2 linked regions of the Caenorhabditis elegans genome follow. The protein of the gene in region 2 purifies or fractionates together with the protein of the main gene of each other region. This does not show direct contact. Each region holds a gene or a part of one and is shown on either strand. Other genes may lie near its edges.

What was found. Proteins that work in one complex are often made in the same cells at the same time.
Region 1: the proteins of cap-1 (region 2) and arp-11 fractionate together in Caenorhabditis elegans (co-fractionation; one large-scale study listed by BioGRID). This does not show direct contact.

What each region holds. Positions count from the first base shown.
Region 1 is NC_003282.8:7,897,668-7,905,736, forward strand, and holds arp-11 (Actin-related protein 10), read right to left. Parts: upstream 4,605-8,069; coding exon 4,417-4,604; intron 4,374-4,416; coding exon 4,163-4,373; intron 4,003-4,162; coding exon 3,838-4,002; intron 3,789-3,837; coding exon 3,610-3,788; intron 3,026-3,609; coding exon 2,614-3,025; 3' UTR 2,536-2,613; downstream 1-2,535. Other genes in the region: atic-1 (Bifunctional purine biosynthesis protein ATIC), read left to right, coding at 1,079-1,190, 1,323-1,379, 1,567-1,662, 2,329-2,448; cbpl-1 (Cortactin-binding protein-2 N-terminal domain-containing protein), read left to right, coding at 6,110-6,163, 6,354-6,716, 6,772-6,845, 6,932-7,200, 7,248-7,477, 7,759-7,982.
Region 2 is NC_003282.8:7,225,856-7,233,762, reverse strand, and holds cap-1 (F-actin-capping protein subunit alpha), read left to right. Parts: upstream 1-3,539; 5' UTR 3,540-3,540; coding exon 3,541-3,621; intron 3,622-3,733; coding exon 3,734-3,859; intron 3,860-3,913; coding exon 3,914-4,354; intron 4,355-4,518; coding exon 4,519-4,683; intron 4,684-5,024; coding exon 5,025-5,060; 3' UTR 5,061-5,341; downstream 5,342-7,907. Other genes in the region: D2024.4 (DUF19 domain-containing protein), read right to left, coding at 1,025-1,252, 1,358-1,444, 1,494-1,635, 1,683-1,856, 2,156-2,351, 2,410-2,515; D2024.5 (Mid2 domain-containing protein), read left to right, coding at 5,457-5,580, 5,625-5,739, 5,784-5,909, 5,959-6,067, 6,256-6,282; R13A1.10 (F-box domain-containing protein), read left to right, coding at 6,599-6,666, 6,935-7,463, 7,823-7,907. UniProt on the Caenorhabditis elegans protein: F-actin-capping proteins bind in a Ca(2+)-independent manner to the fast growing ends of actin filaments (barbed end) thereby blocking the exchange of subunits at these ends.

The DNA.
Region 1 (8,069 bases), 670 kb from region 2:
TTGGGTTCAAAACGTACTGATGCGCGACATTTTATATTTGGGATCAAATTTGGAGAATACTTGGAATTGAATGTAACGGATAAAGGAAAGAATTAGATTAATGCAAACTCACATAATTACATAAACAAGGAAATTGACTTTTGAGTATGAAAATTACGAACGAATATTTAGAAATAAGAACTTTCAATTCTTAGAAGTTGTAACCAGATTTGTCAGATTGATTCTGTTAAACTTATCAAAAAGTATGGTACTTCAACATATCAAAGTATAAAAATCAAAGTTTTCTATTCGCAGTTCTAAAACTCTGGCTGGCTGGCATATGTGCTCAGTCTTCCAACAATCCTCAGTTCTCAATTTGACAAAAATTTCAAAATCTTCTATTTTTAACTGACAGAATATATATTCATCTCAATCATATCCAACCGAACTTACGTCATTTGTTACGTCACGCTCAGAAAATCCCAAAAAAAGAATGAAAGTTGCATTGAGAGACTCTCGAATTTGATTTTCCTAAACAAGTTTTAGGTTTCTTTTTCTGACTAACAATGTTCAAAAAATGTTCAATGAAACAATTTAAATTTAAAAAAAAACGATCATGAATATTTTTATGCCACAGGATAACTGTAACCTAGAATCAGCACCAGACGAGACCTTCTGAGAAAAAAGAACATACTTCCTAACTTTTGTTGCCTATATCTCGGTTGTCTTTGGGTTTATGAAAACAATTGACAACAAAAAGAATAATCTTCTATTATTTTTTCTATAGTTTTGGGGAAAAACTTTAATTGCTATCTTCAACATGAACCTAGGAGTAATTGGGTGCAGAACTAACAAAGAACATAAAAAAAGGAAATTTAAATATTAAAACTGTAGCTTTTATACAAAATTCAAAGTATACATTTCAACAAAAAAAGGTGTCTCGATTGCAATGTTTAAAATGACTCCACCTACACTGTCTCTCTCTTCCGGACATATCTATAATACTGATAACCGTGTAACATTGACCGATCGATTCGTCATTTCTAGAAGAAATCAAAAAACGTTATGATTATCAAGCACATGTTTTTATTCAATTCAGGTGGCTACGACAACATCCAACAGTACTCTCACTTCCATGGAAGAATGCAATTAAACGATCAGAGAAATCAAATGCTATTGATGTTTTATGCAGTGGAGTTCTTGGTTCAGAGGTTTGTAATTTTAAGTTCAATAGACCTTTGTCGTACTTTTCTCTTGTGACAAATTTGTAATCTTTAATCGTTTGGCTATTTTTAAAGATTTCAAGTCTTCAAAATAAACAAAAAATTTACTCATTTTTGCAGATTGCCATCGACCAATGGCAGCAATATTTCAATGAGCCAGTGGAGCCACTTGCTGAGGTACGTGTGTGCCCGTTGGGCATTTTAAGCCTCGTGTATGGACCCAAAAGTGTATAATCTGACAGATGATGACGTAGGGAAATGAGACGAAAAGGATTAGTTTTTTTGGTAGAAAATAAGATTTTTTTTGAGTTTCTTTTTTTTTCGGTTTGAAGATTTGTGGGGAACTTTGATGAATAATTTTCAGGATGATCGCAAACAATGGCTGAGCCAGCAAACAGGAGTTGTGATGAGTTCAGATGCATTCCTTCCATTCCGTGATAATGTTGATTGTGCTAAACAGGTAAAAACGTTTTTCATTGTTGGTCAATGCTCGAAGTATTCTAATATGTTGAAATACTACAGCGTTAAAGCGAAAAATTTTTTTTAATTGATATTAGAGTGGAAACGCGCTCCATGGCTATTTTAAAGTGATCCGCCCCCAATACATGGGTCTCGTTAGATGATTTAAGCCGTAACTTCAAGCGTTTTCAACTAGTTTTGCCGATTTCGCCAATTTCCTAGCATTTTTAGAGTTTTTTTTTCTATTTTCCGCTGTTTTTAATGATTTTTTCGTCCAAGTCGAAAATGCTTGAAAATTGGCGAAATCGGTGAAAATAATTTGAAGCGTTTGAAATGACGGATTTGTAGCCGAATACCTCACGAGACCAATTTTTTATTTTGTATTTCGTGATTTTTACATTTGGGCATAGTAATTGGTTCGAAAGCGGCTAAATAAATAAATAAATAATTTTAAAATTTTCTAGTAGTATTCAGTTTGTGATTTCTGAACCACAGTGTATACAGTTCCTAATTAGATTAGAAGTAACAAACTAAATTAGACACACTGAATGTTCAAGTGAGCTTTGTTAAATTGAATAATACAAGTGTGACGCCAAGAAAAAAAAAATTCAAAAACTTTCCTGTTTTCAAGAGTTGTAGGGATACTGATTGTGTATAATTTTTGCAGTTCGGAGTGTCTTATGTTGCTCATCCAGGAGGCTCAGTTCGTGATGATGACATCAAAGAAGCTTGTGATGAACATGGAATAACTCTTATTCATACTGGACTTCGTCTCTTCCACCATTAGATTTTTTAAGCAAACGGCAGCAATAAAGTTTACACATTTTTCCTAACTTTTATCCAACTTCCCCTTAATGTACAGTTTTGGCCCTTTTTTTCTAAGTTTTTCATACATTTATGCGAATAAATAATAAAATTATAAAGCACCAGTTACATTTAAAAAAACAAATTTCTAACGGGATTTTACAATGATATCAGTCCAATCAGCAGCTAATTTTCCATTTTTCCACTCTTCCAAGGTTAAACTTTTGCGTTCAATTGTCTCTCGAAGTGATCCCAATAGACTTGCACCGAGCCAGGAAACGAAAAGTGGCGTGTTTTTGATTTCCGAAAATTGATAGAATTTTACAATTACGGCAATTTTGGAATTGTTTTTCTCGTCGATAACTTGAATTTCTTGTTCCAAACGTTTCATGAGACCAGGAATTGTAGAGACTCCACCAGTTAAAAGTATATTTGGGAATAGCTTTTTCCGGAGATCAATCGGGCATTTTGATACCAGCTTGTGAAGAAGTTTCGGAAGGGAAAGATCGAATGATGTAGGATTGAGATTCTCATTGAAGAAGATTTCAGTACTTGTTTCGCTGAAATAATAAGTACTAAAGGTAATACGCGGCTTCTCTTACAATCGAAGTTCAGAATTTAATTTTTTCTGTTTTTTTTTTTGAATAATATAGGGAGCATAATAAAAATTGTTTGGATTACTGTAGGTGGCAGATTTCATGATATCATAGAAGGAGTTTTTAAAAAAATTTACTTTTTAACTACGAGAAATAAGTAATTTTAGAAACTTCTCTGTTGCTAATATGACGAAATATAATAGGAAAACTTTTCAAAAAATGTTGGATTTTGTTTATTCAGTCAAAAAGCGAAGCAACGCAAAAAGCGAAGCAAGCGAAGCGTAGCTTTTTTGGATGTCGTCGATCAAAAGTAATTTTTCCAATTTTTGTTCTAAAATATTTATATTAAAACAGTCAGGAGGGAGGCTCTAAATTGCGACATTGCTTTAGTTTTCACGAAAAAATGGTACGAACATAATTTATGTCGCTTTTTGTCTGTGAATAAACATTTTTTAAACAAAAAATTGCAGTTTTCCATGATATTTGATAACGTTTGCCAACACATTCAATTTTTAAACTTCTGGTAAGAAAAAACTTTTAAAACTTACAATACAACTGGAGGAACTACAAATATTTTTCCATTATTCGGAAATAGTCTTTCTTTGCAAAGTGTCTCAATATCCGGTTTTTCTCCTTCTTCTGACGCTTCCCATTTTGTCCAATTTTCGGCCCGTTCCTTATCCAGACAAATGAGTGATAAACTAAGCGTTTCGATAAGTTTACACGCCTAAAACATATCTTCAGTTATTGAGTTTTTTCAAGTTTTAGATATTTACATCAATATCTTGCCAATCGTTTTCTGTAATTGCTCGTCTCTCTCCATTTAATTCTGCAATTTGACCATATTTCTCCATTTGCTCCCGAACTCTTCGTTCAAGTTGTCGGCCACAAATCGAGCGAGCTGATTCGAACTCATTCAGCATTGTCACACCTTCGATAATCTGAAAAAAATACAATTTGCAATAAATCATAAATAGAAATTTGAATTTCTAAAAAAAATTTAACTGTTTAAAATTGTAGATGGTAAAAAATTACTCTTTTGTTGATTTTTTTCTAGAAATATTTTCTTATGCTCTTCAAAAATTAAAAATAAGAACTAACTGGAACTGCGATACATTCTGAATGTCCAATATCGACAACGAGAGCATTTTGAGTATTGAATGGAAATGTGGCACAAACATGAGATGGCATGAACATTAGAGATTTGCAACGAATCTTTTCGACAACAATTTTGGTGATGGTATTGCGGAGGGATTCTGACATGAAAATGCTTTCCACAAATATCACTGGACGGTCAGTGGGAGCCAAAACTCTAAAATCCAAGCTTTAAGTTAATCGAGGCCAGAGAGGCTCACTTTAAAAATACAATCCTCAAGAATTTATAGAGAATTTCTTCGTAGTACTCGGTGGACTTTGTAGCAGTCTTCCGATTGTTTAGAGCTAATAATTCATCAGAAGTTATCAATTTTCCTTCATCATCGACGTATTCTGTTCGGATAATATGTCGAGGTGTTATTTCTCCGGCACATCCAATTCTAAACATAGTAAAATTATGAAATTTAAGAACAGTGGAACTCAAACTTCGTTAACTTGCTTCCAATCTCAACCACAACTGCACTTTTTCCATTATCGATTGAACTGATAGCTTGAGATAAAGTTGTCGATGAAAGCGAGATTGATTGATTTGAAACTCCCGACGAACTCCGTCGAGCCGCCTTCAGCGACTCCAACGTTGATTGAGCAGTTGATGCCAGTTTGAACACTACAATATTGATTTTAAGATGATTTAATCTTAAAAAGAAAGGAGTAATTACGAATGTGGCACAATAAATAATGATTGATTCGTCTAATTAAAGTAAAATCTTGATAAAACATTAAAACAAAAAAGTCGTTCTCAATTGAGCGCTTACCGTATACGTGTGCAAACACCATGTATCTTCTATTGCGTACCGCGCGCAGTATATTACGCGCAAAGTTTTTGCGACTCTGAGTGACGTCACCAGACATTTTCTTATCGCTTTCTCGTTTACCGCCAGTTTAAATAATTATTTTATCACTTTTTATAAGTTTTTATCATTTCGCGTAATTACAGTAATCTTTTTATTAAAGGATTTGTTGCTTGATAGTGAACTAAAATAGGTTAACTTTGATTTTTAATGAGAGAGACATCATCGATTGCAGGTTTAGATTAGTTGTATCCATTTCTCTGACTCGAAATCTCTTTTTGCGTACTAATTTTTCAAAATAACCATCGATCTTCATCCAGATTTGAGGAAAATTCCTGTTTATTATTTTCAATATCTGGAAGGCTAAATAGAAAAAATGTTTGACTCGTTTAGGAATCCTAAATTTTGGAGATATAAAATTTGCGTCTTTCAATATTCAACTATTTGGGATATGATTTCCTTTTTTGCAATTATGGATTCTTACTAGAAAAACTACCAGACTCTGGCAAACATTCTCCTCCGCCTTGTTTGCTTTTTTCGTTGCTGGTCATCTTCAACAAACAGTGTACTTAAGCTCAGCATCACCACCGTGTTTTTTCATGGTGAAAACAACCCAGTTAAAATGGCTGAACAAGATGTTTAGATTTTTCTCGATAACATCTGATTGTGTAGGTCACCTTTACAAAGTTCATTTGAACTTTTTGCTATATCGTTATTCGAACGGATCTTCTCTCTTAACATAAAAGTTCCTTGCAATAGATATCGTTCAAAACGAACCAAGTGTCATCACTTGGAGCGGAGCCAGTAGAGCCCTGCTCTCGACATGTGAGAGCCCGGTCGCAAGGCATAGGGAATGACAACATTTCGTCTGCGTCTCCACCTCTTCAAGCAATCACTGTGAAATAGAAGCACACGAAGTTACACACTTGAATCCCTTTCTCTATATCCCTCGGTCTCTAGTTCTTCAGTTTATCCACGTTCAACGTCTGCTTTTTCTTCTTCTGCATCGACTTCGTGTTTTTTTCTCCAGAAATTTCGAAAACGTTTCAAAAATAATTTTTCCAGACTTCTGCTTCACGGCGTTTGCCGTGTTTCTTTCACGATGCCAAATTTACTCGATGACAGTTTTGATCCAACTTTTCAATCAACATCAAAAGTGAGTTTTAATTCCACAAGGAACATAAAATTGTAAGCAAAGTTTGTATACTCTAATTTTTAATATTCACAGTCTCAAATTATTCTAAGATTGCAAATTAACGCTCATTTTCCGAGTGATTGAGCCACACCCAAAGTTTTGAAAATATATAATTTATCAGTAATTAACCAAAAACTTCTACAATGTTCAGAAATTGGTACTTCCGTCTATTCGAAAGGTTCAGCCCGAATATGACAATCTTCCCGAAGAGCAGGGGGTTAACGATTTCTCAAGTGATGAACTGATGAAATTGCTCTCGTTCATGGAAGGTGAAGTTCAAGCAAGAGAAGATGTCATTGATCATCTGAAACGTGAAAGAACGAAAATTCTACTATCCGAAGCTAAATATGGAAAACTAAATATGAACGATCCATTTGCTGCGTTGCGACGAGATTCGGCAATTACTGGCGAACAGATTGATGAAGAGAAGATTGTTCAAATGTACGAGTCACAAGTGGATCAGTTGGATAAGATGATGGCAGTGCAAAAGCAATCGCAAAGAAATGCGGCTGTGGTAATTAAATTTTTGTGCAGCTCCCTCTATTTACACCAATCAAAAAAGTTTTCAGCTGTTGGTTGCGCTGGAGAAGAAGCAATATAAACTCGTGAAAAAGTTGGAGGCGGATAGAGAAGCTAAAATAAGGTGAGTTATATATTACGAAATAAGAAAATACCTTAATAAACATTATAACTCGACTCATACGCCTAAAATTTAGAACAAATCTTTAGGTACGCGAAACAAGGAGATGATTTGGTCGCTCACTTGGAAAAAGAACGAAATCAACTTCAACAACAAATTGAATTTCATATTGAGGAGAAACGCAAAGCCGAAATCGCAAAGGATAAAATGGAAATGACACTTGGAAATGAGAAAAAACGTCACGAATCAATCGTTTTGTATTTGATACAAGAACGCAAACAAATGCTTTTAAAAATGCACGAATTAAGAGTGAAAGCCGAACAAATTATGCTTCAAAATCAAAATGATCCTACCAAACGTGAGTTAACTGCAAAATAAGTTTTTTTAGTTCAATAAAACTTTCAGCTGGTCCATCATCAGCGTTAAGTGAACGCGAGCTTATTGAGGAGCTGAAAAAAGAAGTCACGTTTTTACGAGCAGAACGGGAATCGCTCACAAAAACTCAGAAAATGGTGAAAACTGAAAATCTGAGCCTTCGAGAAACAGTTCGTGGACAAGAAGCCGATCTTCAGATGCTTCGACGGAATCTGACGTTAACTGGAGCAAAAATGTCAATTGATAAGCCTGGGAATGTAGTGAGTTTTGTTTCAAATTTTCAATTTTCCTGAAACGGTCATAGAAATTTGGTTTATCGATGTCTCTAAATGTCAAAAGAATTGTTTTAAATTAGCTCTTGACAAATGCAAAAAAGTTGTAACTTTTTACTTATTACATGATATTTCCCATCTGCATTTTCTTTTATCAGTTGAACATAATAAGACAACCTTCACATAGTTGATTGCACTCATGATTAGCAAAATTTAGCTCTCAAAACAAGTTATGGAATTTCCGCATTTCATATTTTATGTTATTGCAGCTACCTCAACTTCCACCCGACACAGGATCCCTAATAATGGCGAATCGAGGTGCAAAACCAGCAGTTAATAGACAACAGCCAGCTCCTCCTCCTGTAGCTCGTCTTCCAAATTCAGCAACATTTCCAACTGAAAAGAGTCGACTTCCAAGAGCTCCACCTCCAGCTGTAACAACACCGGTCCCTCGAATGAGTATTGGAAGTTTGCCGGCATCTAGTTCTAATGTGTAAGATTTCTGACTACAATCAATTTTGATATTGCTATGTCACTGCAATCTGCCAAACTCAAACAAATTACAGTACCATGAAAACTT
Region 2 (7,907 bases):
CCCCGCCAATATATTTTCAAATCTTTTTTTTTTCGATGACGATGATGATGATGGCATTCTTGATGGGGCGTGGAAGGATCAGGAAAGTGGTGAAGGTGGACAGAAAGGGCAACAGGTTATTGCGGGAGACAGAAAAGAGAAGCCGGATCCCGCCGTCTTTCTTTATTCTTTTCATAGTCCATGTGGTTTGATCGTAGAGAAAAAGTATTGAAGGTGGAGAGGGAGATATGGGGTGATATCTATGAAGAATGAGGATTACGTAGATTGCCAATAGAGAAAGTGCATTGCGTCCTCAAATTGTGATAACGTTGATACAAACAACTATGATTCAATATCTTTCCTTAGTGAATCTCGAAAAACGTGGTCTAGAAAATGGCAAAGTCCGGGCCAAACTTTTGCAAGACTTGGGCAAGGCTTTGTTTTGGTCGCACCCAGGTTTAAGCCAAGTTTGGAAGCTTCTCGGATTAAACCTAGTAACAAATTATAGGTTTTCTGTGAATGAAGATTCGAGTTTATGTATAATTTTATAAAATTTTTACAGAGTTCAAACACTGTTATTCTGTTCTTAAAACTCTCGCAAAATGCCCTGCAATTTTAAAAAACTTCTGAACTTTTCTAGAAGCTTCTGACGCATTTCAAGAGTTTTCAGATTTATCTAAAAGTTTTGGAATCTTCGAAATATTTTTTGAAACGCTTTGGTAATTTTGAAACATTCTGCAAATGTGTAGAATTTTCAGAAACATTTTAAACATTTTCTGATTTTTTCTTAACTTCTTAAATATACTGAAAGTTCCAATAAGTATATCAAAGCTCTTGAAAGTTTCCAGAATTTTCGATGAAAAGAAAGCTTGAAATTAATTTTTAAATTCTGTCATGTCACACCTTCTAAGTGTTCTGTTTTGCGATGTCTTCCAACTTCTTTCAAAAACAATTTCATCTTAAAATAAACTGTATTTATTAAGATTCACAGGGTGTTTTATGTACATTCTTGTCTCAATTATAGCTATAAGTGTCATCAACTCAATTACAAATTGGAATTCACATCAAATTTCACTGTATGATACAGGCATGCTGCGTAGGAATCTACAGGGGCACACAATTTCTCGATGGATCTTGTGAGCGTCTCTTTATAATTTGAATTGGACATTTTACTGGAGTCACCATAAACTTGGCACATCTTTTGACATTGTTCAGCTCTTCCAGACTTCATTGGGTTACGATCCATTACATGGATTACTGTAGTCATGATTCCCTGAAATTAACCAAAATAATCAGCTAAAATGGGAAACAAAACACAAGATTTTGAGCAACAATTTCACGTTCAATGCTATTTCACAGGACGAACATCCATTTTAACCTGTTTGAGGTACTGCCAGTACTCCTCGATTTTATCCTTCGTGTCAGATTCTTCTTTGTTAATATCGTCTTGAGTCGGAGTGCACATCTAAAAAATAAACAAGCTGTTATATTCTAATTTATATCATTATTTATACCTTAAAAGTATATCTATGAATATTATCAGTTGTGGAACACTCCTCCTTCCCCTCGTTGCTCAAAAATTTTTTAAGCTTGTTCAATTTGCTCTCATTTTCTTTTACGTTTTCCTTAACGTTTTCGCACAGAGAGCAGAATTTACTGAAAAGCCAATTCCTATTGTTAGTTTATATAAATTGCAAACCAACCATGTAGTTTTACCACCGAGCATCTCTCTCAATTGGGAGTTATAACTCTCTGGACACCATTGAGATGGACTAGTTACGTTTGCACAAATGCTCTCAACTCCACGAAGATTTTGAATCGCGTCTTCTGATTTGCAGGGAACGTTTTGGCCAAGTTGCATAAATGCTTCAATGTATCTAGAAGAAAGAATGTACCATTTTTTTTTTCTATTAGACTGTTATCGGCATTGCTTTACTTTGACGGTTTAGTTTATCGAAAAAAAATGTTTTCACTAATAAAGTAAAGAAAACTATGTTATAAGTGTGTTCAGTTCGCACTTTTCATGAAACCAAAAAACCCGGGAAACCCCCGTCGAAGAGGTGTAAAGAGGTGCAAGTTTAATAGGGAAAAATACGGAATCTATTACGATTTTAAGAGATTTGCAGGATTCAATTTTACGAATGAACTCCAGTCTTAAGTTTCAGCTCTAACTTACGGATTCTCGATAGGTCTCAGCATCTTAAAGCTGACTTTAACTCTATAGCATCCAGGGAAATCAATTTGGCGAGTTTCTCCATTAATATCAGTAATTGTTACTTCATCTTTTTCTTCATCTTCTTCCTCTGGATTATCATTCTTCAACATTTTCATTGTGATCTTCAACGAGCTCTCGTCAATAACATCGGAATCCACTAAACTTGGTTGTAAATTAATTGTAAAACCATTTAATTTTTATTTAAAAGAACAAACCATTCGGACAACTTTGTGTGACATTTTCTCTAACTTGAATGTGAACTTTTCGGCATGTTGCCAGTGCTAAAACAGTTAGGAGTAGTATGAGGAATCTGAATAACATCTTTGAATATTCTGAATTGTCTAACAATTTTCTTTTATAGCATTTTCAGTTGATCGTGATCATCTTGACCTAGTTATTCGAACAACTAGAATATAGCAAATCCGTTGTTGCCGGACTATTATTAGAAGAAGAGGAAGCGAACACTTTCCGAAAAAAGAGTGGAATTGTTTGCATTATGAACAACGTTTTTAAAACATTTAACCGGAATTTTTTAGATCCAAAGTTTTTTATTCAGATTAAACAATTTAATTGATCAATTCTGAACTATTATTTCAAGTTTGAAGCTTAGCGTTTTCTGGTTCATCAATTTGATTTTGCAGTTTAAGAAGCAGAGGAAGGGAATTCCCGAAAAAAATGCATTGTTTGTTTTATGAACAACGTTTCTATATAAGTCGCATTGATTGAAAGATTGCAATGTTCAAATTTCGGTTTTTTTTCTTGGACTGAAATCTACCGTACCACTTCCAAAATTTCGTGTTTCTCGAATTATATTTCAGACGCAAATAATTAATATTTCTCGTAGCACAGGTTATTCTTGGCTTTTCGACATAATTTTCTTTCAAATTTTCATTGACATGCTCTCAAATTTCAAAGATTTTCTTCTCTAGAAATGCTCTCACATCTAGTACATATTCTCTCTTCCAGCGAATTTTTCACAAATTTTAAGTGTAAATAATGTAATTGAATTCTGAACATGGTTCAAATGCTTTTTATTTTATAGACTATTTATTACTCATTTTTTATAACTGCTTTAGTGTGCTTTCTTTTTCGCTGAAGAATAAAAAACATTTCAAACTAAATATCTCAAGTAATCTCTATCCACTTTCCGTGTGGTGTCTCTCGAAAACGCAAGCGCGCTCTACGGCTAAAATCGATGCGCTCATTTCTCTGTTTGTGATTCATTTTTGTTCACTCTTTTATTCAATGAATCACCACTTTTATTTTGTCAATCTTTATTTCTTTTTAGTTATTTGATAGAAATATATTTTTAAAATGTTTATAAGCATAACTCTTTCTCGTTCAGAATGTCGGAGATCAGTGACGCCGAAAAGGTCCGCATTGCTTCGGATTTCATTAAACACGCGCCACCCGGCGAGTTCAACGAGGTAATTTTTTGTCGATTTTTAGGAGAATTGCTCGTTCAAGCTTGATATTATAGTCATCAAAAAATTTATATTTCGCAATTCACTTCAATTGTCAATTTACCTTTCCATTCAGGTATTCAATTCGGTTCGGATGCTTTTGGAAAATGATGATCTTCTGAAGAACAAATGTGTTAATGCTATCGCTCAATATAACGTTGGACAATTTGTGCCAGTAAAGTTGGATGGTGTTGCCAAGCAGGTATACTATTTTCATTTTTTAAACTTTCTTCAAATATTTAATTATTTTCTTCAGACTCTGATCACTCCATACAATGATTTGGGTAATGGACGTTTCTACGATGAAGTTTCAAAGAAAAGTTTCAAATACGATCACGTCCGTAAAGAGGCCGCAGATCTTCAACCACATCCAGCCGAGTCTGGAATAACCGAACAATGGCGTCAAGCTCTTCAAACTCAACTCGATATATATATTGATGATCATTACGCGAAAAGTGGAACGGGAGTGGTTTTTGCTCGAAACGGAGTTTTCACGATTTGCATCGAATCTCATCAATTCCAGCCAAAAAATTTCTGTAACGGAAGATGGCGTTCGGAGTGGAATGTGCCGGTTGGCGATGGTAAATCAGGATCTCAGGAGATGAAAGGAAAAATTTTGTCGCAAGTTCATTATTACGAAGACGGAAACGTGCAGTTGTTCTCTGAGAAAGAGCCGGTTCTTAAAGTCAATGTTTCGGTAAATTTTTTTTTCCATAAATTGATCCAATTTAGAAGGATAGAAAAAAAAGTTTTTCATAAAATTGTGAAGAACAAAATAAAATCACAGGAATCATTTAAATTATATTTTTCATAGAGCTATTTAATCGAATTAAAAATTGGCATATAAAGCCCTATTTTCAGGCTGACTTCGACAAAACCGCCAAAGAAATAATTCATGCCATTTCCGAGGAAGAGACTATATATCAGAATGCTGTACAAGAGAATTACGCTAATATGTCTGATACCACATTCAAAGCACTTCGTCGCCAATTGCCAGTTACTCGCGCTAAGATGGACTGGAATAAGGTATCGTAATTTCACAATATTTCGGAATGCCTTCGGAAAAGTGCACAGATTTATTCAGATGGGTCTCGGTGTTTCTTATTTTTCTGTTAACAAATGCTTCGAATCAGTTTTATATCCCTTGTCATGCAGACACAATAAAAAATAATTGTGATTTGAAAACTAATTTAAAAAGAATTTTAACAGAAACAAGAGATGAAGCCGACAAAATTCTCTAAATGCGAAGTAATTTCTTTGAAAAAGATTAAGCAAGGGCTACCATAATAAATCTGTGCGCCTCTACAAAGGCATGTCAAAATTTTCAGAATTGATAAAATAAAAAGAATAAATTAATTTTAATTCAGGCTCAAACCTACCGAATTGGTCAGGAAATGAAGTAATCACAAAATCGTTATCACATCGCTTTGCTTCAAGTTCGTCTGCTGGTCTTCATCATCTTCCTAATCCTCTCCAAAAACCAAAAAATCCTCCAATTTCGACCTTTATTTCTCCCACTTTCCTTTATCCTTTGGCCGGACACTAGACGTGCTTTACAACATAATACCCTTCGTTTGCTCCGCTGCTTCTTTTTTCATGATTTGATAATTTGTATCATCTATGTATCTAATTTTATTGTATGGTATGATTCATTTTTCAATTATATATTATTTGTGTGTGTGTGATTAAGAATTTTCGAGATATTTTCTGATTTTAGAAAGGTCGCGCACCTTTTGATATATATTTAAACGAATTAGCTAAATAGTTAATATGTGTTCGTTTAATTGAAGAAAATTCAGATGCAAAACCTCACTGAGGTTCTCAATGCGACTTTATTGAGCAACTTGTCAGATTTGGTATCATCGACAAGTACGGTATCAACCAGCACGACTACAACTACCACGACGGAAATTCCATTGACTAGTAAGCTTTCAGAAACATATTTCTAAGATTACACATTTTTTCAGCATCTTTTCCTCCAAGTGATCATACAACTGCAACGTCGATCGCCTTCATTTCCTTGGTAGTTTTTGGAGTAGCATGTGCTCTCATTGCGAAAATTGTGATAAGCCATAAGAAAAAGTGAGTATCCTTTCGATTTATAAAACATTTATTCTCAATTTTAGGAGAGCTGAATTAATCGGATCAGCACGATGGAGAATTTCTGCTTCAAGACAAAGCGCATCTTCGGCTTCTAGTGGCGGAATGGGCCAAAATTCTTCAGCCACTTATCTTCCCATGGGCCGTGGAGGGTATATAAGCAATTATTATTTTAATTATTTCACATTTTGAAACTTTAAGAAACAATCGCTCACTGAACAATCAAAGACAACCGCTGAACTCACTGGATCACCCGACAGCCGATCGTCTCGATTGGGAACGACAGTTCTTCGATGATTCCGAAGCTACAGTACGTTCTTTTAGATTTATAGTCTTCAATTGATATTATTGCGAAAATTATTAATTAAACGGAAACTTAAAAACTCAGATTAACGTCGAAATATAATTCTGAATGGATGTGTAAGTTCTAAAATGTCGTCATGTGATTTTTGTGGTTATTAATCCTTTCCGCAGTCTCTACAAATTAAAAAATTTCAGACTCCTTCAAGGCTCATCTTCCGCTGAATAAATCGTATTGTCGACTACATCAAACTCATCGCGCCATGTTAATTTATTATTTCCCATTTTGGTTCAAATTGAAATTCCTGGTTGTCATAATAATTCTCCATTCAGTCGCTTTAACTTCTTCTGTCGCTTTCCCGAATTCCCTCCCATCTTCGTGTAGTTTTCAGTTTTATCTCCCATAATGGGTCTAATGAAAAATACGTTCATATTAAAATAGCATTTTTCTGTTCTTTTTTCTCGATTTGGCATATGACCAAAACTGAAAAGTTATCCAAATCATCTGAATCGGACCAATAAACAGGGCGGTTAAGGTATAATGAATCTCGAAAATCTTCCACAAGAAATGCTGCATGAGGTAGTTAAGCATCTGTCGTTCATGGAACGGTAAGATTTTATTATAAAGACGCAGAAAAATTCAGCTTTTGAAATCGGCGTGGAAAGGTCGAGCTGAAAACGCAAGTTAAAAAATGCATGAATATCGGCGAAACTAATTGAAAAAGTTTTAATTCCCCGTTTTGCCGCCAAATACCTAACGAGACCCATGGTTCGTGGGCGTTGCATTTTGGAGCGCGTTTCCGCGTCGATTTCGAAAAGGATATTTTTCTGCGTCAAAATAATAATTGACTGTTCCAACAAAACCAAAATAGTTCAGACTACCACTGCAGAAATGCTCGAGAAAGATGAAATCTGCGACTGAATCAGCTGTACTTGTATTCAATGAAGAAATTACTTTAACATACACACCACATGAAGATTCTTCACTAATTGAAACTTATTTAATAGAATTCAATGGAATTGTTATTCGAATATATGAATCATCTGTTCCTGGTGAAGTCACTGTTAATTTCGAAAAATTGATGTCAAGAACAAAAATTGAAACAACTGAAAGATCTAACTGCCAAGACGTGGCACGGAAGATTTTCTGCGAAACTTTTCTGAAGGACAATGTCATCTGCAACTCTTTCAAGACGAATCACATGTTCAATTCCAACTTTTTGCAAGCTTCCGAGTGTTTGAATGTCGAGAATTTTAAACATTTTCGGTCGGCTATCGGCGTCGAAATTATTGAATTCGAAAGTAGTCTACCGATGTGGCTGGTCCATTTGAATCCAAAACATCTCCGGAGTATTACAGTTTACACAGATGAAGTAAAAAGCTCGATCGCTGATTCATTGAAAAAGGTAAATATGTCTGGCTTGGCTCACTCACAAGAGCCATGGCTCACTCACAAGAGTTAAAACAACGTGGCACTTCAATTTTCTATGTGGGTCTCACCACGATCTCTAAAATATTAAAAAAGTTAACTAGAACTAAGTCAACAAATAAAAAGCCACCATTTTTCCTTATTAGTTTTGTATGCGATACTGATTGAGAAAATATGGTAAATAAAAGTACAGTACCCTCGTCTCAAGGTGCATTCCATCTCCCGGCTACGTCTTTTGAGGTTTGCTCGCGTTGCCGGACCCGTGGGGTGTTTTTCTTTAAACAATTGTCATTGTTAAATAAGGCAATATATTCAAACACTTTTTTTATTTTCCAGTTGAAAAACCTCACAACTTTGTACATCCTGAGGAAAACGGATTTGAATGATGATGTATTGATGACTACGAACGCAACGGATATTG